Pelodiscus sinensis: one gene and its partner. The protein of the gene in region 2 purifies or fractionates together with the protein of the main gene of each other region. This does not show direct contact. Links are inferred from orthologs where the notes say so. Each region holds a gene or a part of one and is shown on either strand. Other genes may lie near its edges.

Region 1 (3,749 bases), on a different chromosome or scaffold from region 2:
TGAAACCACATTTGGATTGTTATGTCCAGTTTTGGGGCTTCCACTAAAAAAGGATATGGACAAATTGGAGAGAATCCAACAGAAGGCAATAAAAATTATTAGGGCCTGGGGCACATGACCTATGAGGATAGGCTGAGGGAACTGAGTTAATTTAGTCTGCAGATGAATGGAGGGTGGGAATTTGATAGCAGCCTTCAACTTCCTGAAGGGGGGTTCCAAAGAGGATGGAGAGAGGCTGTTCTCAGTAGTGACAGATGACAGAATGAGGAACAATGGTCTCAAGTTACACTGAGGGAGGCCTAGGTTGGATTCTACGTTTTAGTTTATGAAAAACTATTTAACTAGGAGGGTGGTGAAGTACTGGAATGGAGTACCTAGGGAGGTGGTGGAATCTCCCTCCTTACAGGTTTTTAAGGTGAGGTTTGACAAAGACCTGACTGGGATGATTTAGTTGTGGTTGGTCCTACTTTCACCAGGGGATTGACTTGATGACCTCCTGAGGTCTCTTTCAATCCTAATCTTCTGTGATTCTTTGAAAATTATCAATCCCGGTAGAATACTGATACAAATTACAGATCTGAAAAGTTAGCTGGTCAGACAAATCTACTATAGTTAGGAGGTGCTGTCCCCCACCTTTCTCCTGTTTGTTTTTGTACTTACTGGGTGCGAATCTGCGGCTGCAATAGTATTGGTGGGATTTCAAAGTCTGTGAAAGGAACTGTTGCAATAGTCAAGGTGTCATCATAACTTCCAACTGCAGCTGGGGAAGCAAGGTCCAGGTATGAGTTGGTGGGGTCAGAGCCTTCTATTATATCATTTCCATTCCCAGCCGTAGCCCCCATGCTTTGCTGGGGATATTCATGCCCCACAGTTCCAGGCTGCAACTCACTCTGTGTGATGCCAGGTTGGAAGGTACTCTCAGAGAGAGCTGCTGGAGTCTGAGGAAATTCCACAGAAGGAACTCCTTGAAAGGATCTGCCCAATGTTGCCATTTTCATCTGTACCTGGGGGGAAACAAATCAACCCAGAACAGTGAGACAATAATAAGCATCATGTTGCATAAGCATCAATAAGGAAAAGTCCAGGTGTATAGTTTAAAGGGGATGCTGGCATGATTGTGTTGGTTAGGGTGTGATTTTGTTTTAATAAAATGTCACTAAGAACCCTAATGTGGATGTACCTATACAGGCAAACCAGTTCTTTTGGTGGTGCCATTTACTAATTGCTCGAGCAAAGTAAAGCTACATCTCCACTTCAAAGACTACAATTGCACAGCTGTGCTACTGTAGCACTTGGGTGCAGACACTTGCTACAGATATGGGAATGGTTCTCCCATGACTGTAGTTAATCCACCTCCTAGAGAAAACAGGTAGGTTGATGGAAGAACTCTTCTATTGGCATTCCACTGTCCAGAGGGAACAGGAGAGAGGGTGATTGGTCAGCTCCACTGTGTCACTCACAAGGGCACATTTTTCATGCCTTTAAGAGACATAAGTGGGTTGACTTAACTTTTCAGTGTAGAGAAGGATGTTAAATAGACTACTGCTATAGAAATAGTAGGGGTTCTCCCCCCCTCCGACACACACAAACTGTATATATTCCACCTTCCTGATAAATGAGAGCTATGTCAAGGGAAAGGTTCTTCCGCTGACCTAGAGCTGTCCACAACATAGGCTAGGTCTGCTTAACTCTGTCTCTTGAGGTGTGAATTTTTCCTGCTGGGTAATGCTTAGACCAGTGGTCCCCAACGTGGTGCCCGTGGGTGCCATGGTGCCTGCCAAGGCATTTATGTGCGCCTGCCACGTGGTGCATGCGGTGCTGGCCCCAGGCATACGGCACATGGGCGGCCCTGCCCTGGGCGCAGAGGTGTGAGCAGCCCCGCACCGAGCAGCCCCAAAAGGCTGGGGACCACTGGCTTAGAGGTTCCAGTCACTGGCAACAGGTGGGGCCTGCACCAGCTCCTAGATGCCAAGGACTGGTGCTGCTCCCATCCAGGGCAACCTCTGCCACCTCCTGCCCAGCTTGCGAGCCCCCGCCTGGACCCCACTTGGGGCATCAGTTAAACGTTAGCGCCACCCAACCGTCACCGGTTAACCGACCGGCGGGTGCTGCGGCCCCGCCCGCCCCGCTCGGTGCGTGTCACTGAGCCGCGCTAAGGCGCCTGCGGGTGTCAAACACCGCGACGCGCGAGCGACTGAAACGTCTAGTTCGGACCAGACACTGTCCGTGCCCGAGCCCCCGCCCCACACAGCGCCAGCAGCCCCCGCCCCAGCTCCCGCTAGAGCAGCGCCAGAGCTCACAGGACCCTCAGCCTGGCCCCTTTCCAGGCCTGTCTCCGCGCCGGAGGAACGCACCGCAGACGCCGGAAAACAGGACCCATATTTCCGGTGGGAGGGGCCTGCTTGAAGATGGAGCATTCTGGGAGTTGTAGTTCCGGGCGCGCACTGGGGCATGCTGGGAGCTGTAGTTCCGGGCGCGCACTGGGGCATGCTGGGAGCTGTAGTTCCGGGCGCGCACTGGGGCATGCGTGGTGACCCAGTGACCAGCCCAGAACTGACGATCATCCTAGCAGAGAGCCCAGCCCACCCGTGTTATCAGTGCCATTATTCCTGCTATACAACAGCAATTGGTGCTTCCCACCTTTATACAAGGCTCTCTAAAAAAGCATGAGGACATTTCCCACCCTACCACAATAAATCCAGTTCTCCCTGGGCTATGTCTACACTGGCGCTTTCTCAGGCAAACTCTTCCAGAAGAGAGTCTACACTGGGATGTGCTTTTGCACAAGCGCACCCGTGCCAGTGTAGACGCTCTCTTGCACAAGAAAGCTCTGATGGCCATTTTTAACCAGGGGGCTTTCTTGTGCACAAAATTCATGTTGCCTGTCTACACTGGCCTCTTTTGGAAGAGCTCTTGCACAAAAGGGCTTATTCCTGAGCAAGAGTGTCAGAGTTCTGGCGCAAAAAGCCCAGATTTTATACATTAGAATGTCAGTTTACTTGCATAAGAACACACGGCCGGTGTAGACAAGCAGCAAGTTTTTGCGCGAGCAGCTGCTTTTGTGCGAGATCGCACCAGTGTAGACACAGCCCCTATGTCTAGCTACCTCTCTACAGTACGGTTACCAGATGGTTGAAACAAAAATACCAACCCCCCCCCCAAAAATGGGAAAAAATTCTGTTGAAGTGGAATAAAAGGGGGGGGGGGGAGACCAAAGTTGTTGAGGGAAAAAAAAGGACTCCAAGTATGCCAAAAAACATTAAAATAAAACAGTATGTCCCCTTTAAGAGTGAGTGCAGGGATAGGAATAGGGGAGCGGTTGAGCACTAAGACGTAGGGGAAAGCACCTGGCAACCCTACTCTACAGGGATGTAGCTATTTTAAAATTGGGTTAAAAAATAGGGGGAGTCATAATATGCAGTTTGTCATTATCTGAAAAGTCAAACTCCTGTTAATGTTTCTGAGCTATGACAGGGAGAGGTGGATTGTTGTTTTTTTTTTAATTTAGTTTCTTAGATTTATTACTGTAATAACTGTTATCAGAAAATTCCCACTGGAGACTACCCAGGGTTACACTAGCATTGGTTTATTGATAAAATAAAGATAGAGCTGCCACCAAAGGTTTAAACTGAGGAGGGAACCAGCTATCTCTCTCTCACACACACAAAAAGGCACATACATACCTCCATTCATTCACACACATTCATTCCTGCCCTCAGGCATATGGGTTTCAGAAAGATCCAAAGCAT
Region 2 (3,749 bases):
TGACTTCCCTGCAAGTGTGAACTGATGGGGATGCAGTACATCACAAAAACCCAGCAACTGCTAGTGAGATGTCTCCGCCAAGGGAAGGCAATCATTGATGAGTCACTTCAACAGCACATCAGGTAGGAACTCTAATGAGCTCCCTAGGAAGTCTGCATACAAAATTTGCATTTTTCTCAGCCTATTACTTCCACTCTCCAAGTACTTTATAACCTGAACTCTGCCAGTACAAACAGAAGCTTGTCCCAGTTACATCAAAAGTCTCCCTTCTACAGGGAGTGTTAAGATGGCTCCCTAAAACTATTACAATGCAACTCCTTTTTCAGTACTGATGGGGCCTGAGCAATAATAGATCTTTAAATTATATGCCATGAATAGCAAAATAATTACTACCTCTAAAAACTTTTGAAGGATCACCCTATAAAGTGCTACCAGACCATTTGCTTACTGGTTTTTTTTTCCCCTGTAACAGACTAACTCAGCTACCCCCTGAAGCTCCCAAATTAGCTGACAACGTAAGAGCCTTACTATTTGGGGCAGAAGCATGAATAATCAAATTTTAAAAAATACCACCACACTTTACATTCTATTTTAATTTTCAACAGGGATGTTAAAATGATTAACCAGTTAAAACTGTTTCAACCTAAGTCCCACATTGGTTCTGGGATACTGCCACTTTGCTAGCTGGCCTCTCCAGGTACAGCTGGCAAGTTAACTCCAGAGATGGCAAGGGCCTGTTAACCAGTAAGCCTGACCATTTACTGTTTAGCCGGAAAATTAGTGAGTGCCAGGGCTCAACAGCTCAGAGATGATGATACAAACTAAGAACTTTTCTCCCCGCCCATTTTAGAACTGGATTTACACTCTGACACAAGCCATATAAGTAGAGATAATTTTGATGAGCTTCATTCCAGTTCCTAGCCAACATTTGTATGGAATATATAATACTGCAATACCTGGGCATTTTTGCTCAAGCCAGAAAGCAAGACAGAAATGAAGACTTGCAGAGATAAATCAGGAGTTATGCCTGCAGGGGTGGAGGCAGGAGGAATTCCTTTTGTGAAGCGGGGAGGAAGTTGGGATTGACAGGCAACAGCAAAGCTGTGAGGGGTGGAATTTAGTACTTGGACAGTAGGAAGCTGCATGTCAGGACTGAGGAGCATTGACAAACACAGGATATGAAAGTGTAATGTGCAAACTTTGTTTGCCTGTGTGCAATGATGAACAGGTATTCTGATACAGAGGCAGCAGCGTGGGGTGCAGGCAGGAGCCAGTACATATGGAGAGCTGACTCTGCACACAGTAGCTCCTGAGGAGCTGGCTGCCACTCAGCGTGTAACTGCTGAAAATTTTACACAGTTACTTTATTACACCCATTTTAACATCCCTAGTTGGGATCTTGTAGGTCAGGACTTTAGGGCACTGGCAATGCTGTGCTTGTGTAGGAGACTCACATTGCCGTCACCCATAGTATACCTAGGCTCTAGCAAGGATAAGCACCTCAATTACATTAGTTCCATAGCAACGTACATTTTAAACTAAGACGTGAAGTTAACAAAACTGCTTTACTCCAAGATAAAGCAGCTTCCTCAAGTCAGTGATCTGCTATGCTTCAAGAAGCAAAGTCAGCTGAGCAGCCTTTACCCATACCAAAGCGACAGGCCCTCTTCAAATGGGACAAGCAGAAGGGAGATTCTGGTGACAATTTTTTGTATTATGCCACCTGTACATCTGCTCCAAATGCTTCCTCGATTGAGAATACTCCAGGGTCTCCTTACTGCACCTTAATAGGCTTTGTTTAAGCAGCAGGTCAGCTGTCTGTCTACAGCCGCCATCTCCAGCATTAGAATGCAATACATAGTTCATAGTTGCTTGGAGACCTCAACAGCTACTCAGCATGAACAGTTACTCCTTCCTGGGCATGCCTTCTATTGCAGGGGGATGAGGCAAGGGAGACTTCTGCATGCACATGCAAAAGTGAGGCAGAAAATGAGAAGATGGTACTTACATCCCAGCTACATATCTCCAGACAGCACACTGAACCTCTCTCTCACACACACACACAATCAATCTTATACATTTTGTTCACATTCAATGCAGATTCCCTGTGCTACCTACTTTACTAGCCAGTCCATCTCTTCGTGCTCCCCTTTTTAGCTCCGAGGAAACCTCCTGCCCAAACCACTCTATTTCCTCCCGCATGCCTGCTTCCCAGAAACCCTGCTACCACCAACTTCTAGGACTCTCGGCTACCTCGTCTCACACCTGCTCCACTGCCCCAGACGGCTCTGCAGTAGCCTCAGAGCCCAGCCGCCCTCTCCCGAGTGGTCACTTCAGTAGGCACGTTCACGTCGCTCATTCGGGCACTCTCATGCAATCAAGGTAAAGAGAAGCGATAGGCGGAAAGGGGGGGTGTCCCTGCCCAACCAGCGCGGGTTAACACACAGCTTCGCCCCGTCTACACGAGGGGGCTAAAACGCATCTGGCAGCACGCTCCCTCCAGACCTTTGCACCTCTTCGAGGCAAAGTCGCCTACCCCGGGCCCTCCCCTGCCTGGCTTCACCCCACCCCGCGCTCCTGCCCCCCAACTCCCTCCCCAGGCGCCGTCCCTCGTAGCTGTCACCTCCTGCCCCAGGCTGCAGCTACCCCGCCCGCCAGCACACAGCCCAGCTCGCTCCTTGGCAGGCCCGGCCCTTCACCTTCTCCATGGCTCCGGCTCGGGGCCCAGTTTTGCGGGACGCTGCCGGTTAAGTCTCCTCCGAGCCGGCCTACCCCGTCTCACGCCGCCTTCTGGAACCTGCTAGAAGCCTCCTGTATCGCCCTCGCCGCCCCATTGGTTGGTACGCGTCCGGGTCCCGCCCCCTCAGTGCCACCATAGATTAGAAAGGGTGTCGCTCACAGGCCGGGCCTTACCTATTCTCCGCCTCGGTAGCGCCAACAGGGCGGGATTATTGAGATTCGCATAGGGATACGAGAACATAGATGTCAATTCGCAACTAGCCCCGCCTACCCCGCGTCTCATAAGTCTGGAGGTATGCCAATCAATACGCCCCGCGAAGAGCCTTCCTTCTACCCGCCCTCACTGTGATTGGATCTCAACCTAGGACCACGCCCCCCGCCCTGCCCATGTGATTGGCTAGCATCTCTAATACTCTCAGCAATCTTCAAAATCCATTGGCCTGGAGACCCCTCGTGATTCTAACGGCCGTGTCCATTGGTTAGAGACATTTCTGGAATTTTCCATTCGTTTCATTGGTTCTGAGGAACAAGGTGACGACATGCGAGGCGCTATGTCCTGATTGAGCGGAGCGGGTCTACGTCATCATCGCTTCCTTATTGGGCGACTCCAAGAGTTTAAAGGAGGGACGTTCTGCTTGGTGGGGGCTGAGCTGGAGTTCCCGAGAGGCGGTGTCTGCGCATGCGTGTAAGAGAAACACATTTGCATGTGCTTTCCGTGGCCCCTAATACGGTTGGGTTTTCACGCGTGCGTTGTACACACTCTGCTGGAGAAGGTTGTTTGCATGTAGCTTGCACGCCCCAGGGAGGGGAGCAGGCTCTGTGGTTGTGGTCCTACTCCTTCGCCCAATCCATGTGTATTTTTCTCTTGTTTTTTTTTGCACCCTGTACCTGCCTCATCTTTTGTGTGCCTGTACTTACTGGGGAGCACGTGCATGCTGCAACAGTGTTTCTCAACCTTTTTTAATATGGTACTCCTTAAGAAAAATTATATGTACCCCCCCCCCCCCAGT

What was found. The genes of interacting proteins can lie anywhere in the genome.
Region 1: the proteins of STIP1 (region 2) and CCDC117 purify together in Homo sapiens (affinity purification with mass spectrometry; 5 studies listed by BioGRID and IntAct, counting the BioPlex papers as one, with this or other methods). This does not show direct contact. The link is inferred for Pelodiscus sinensis from reciprocal best matches to the Homo sapiens genes STIP1 and CCDC117.

The regions. Positions count from the first base shown.
Region 1 is NC_134725.1:41,662,532-41,666,280, reverse strand, and holds the start of CCDC117 (coiled-coil domain-containing protein 117), read right to left. Parts: upstream 2,431-3,749; 5' UTR 2,418-2,430; coding exon 2,355-2,417; exon of another isoform or gene 2,301-2,354; intron 1,005-2,300; coding exon 661-1,004; intron 1-660. UniProt on the Homo sapiens protein: Facilitates DNA repair, cell cycle progression, and cell proliferation through its interaction with CIAO2B.
Region 2 is NC_134721.1:33,441,418-33,445,166, forward strand, and holds the start of STIP1 (stress-induced-phosphoprotein 1), read right to left. Parts: upstream 2,856-3,749; 5' UTR 2,709-2,855; coding exon 2,700-2,708; intron 1-2,699. UniProt on the Homo sapiens protein: Acts as a co-chaperone for HSP90AA1. Mediates the association of the molecular chaperones HSPA8/HSC70 and HSP90.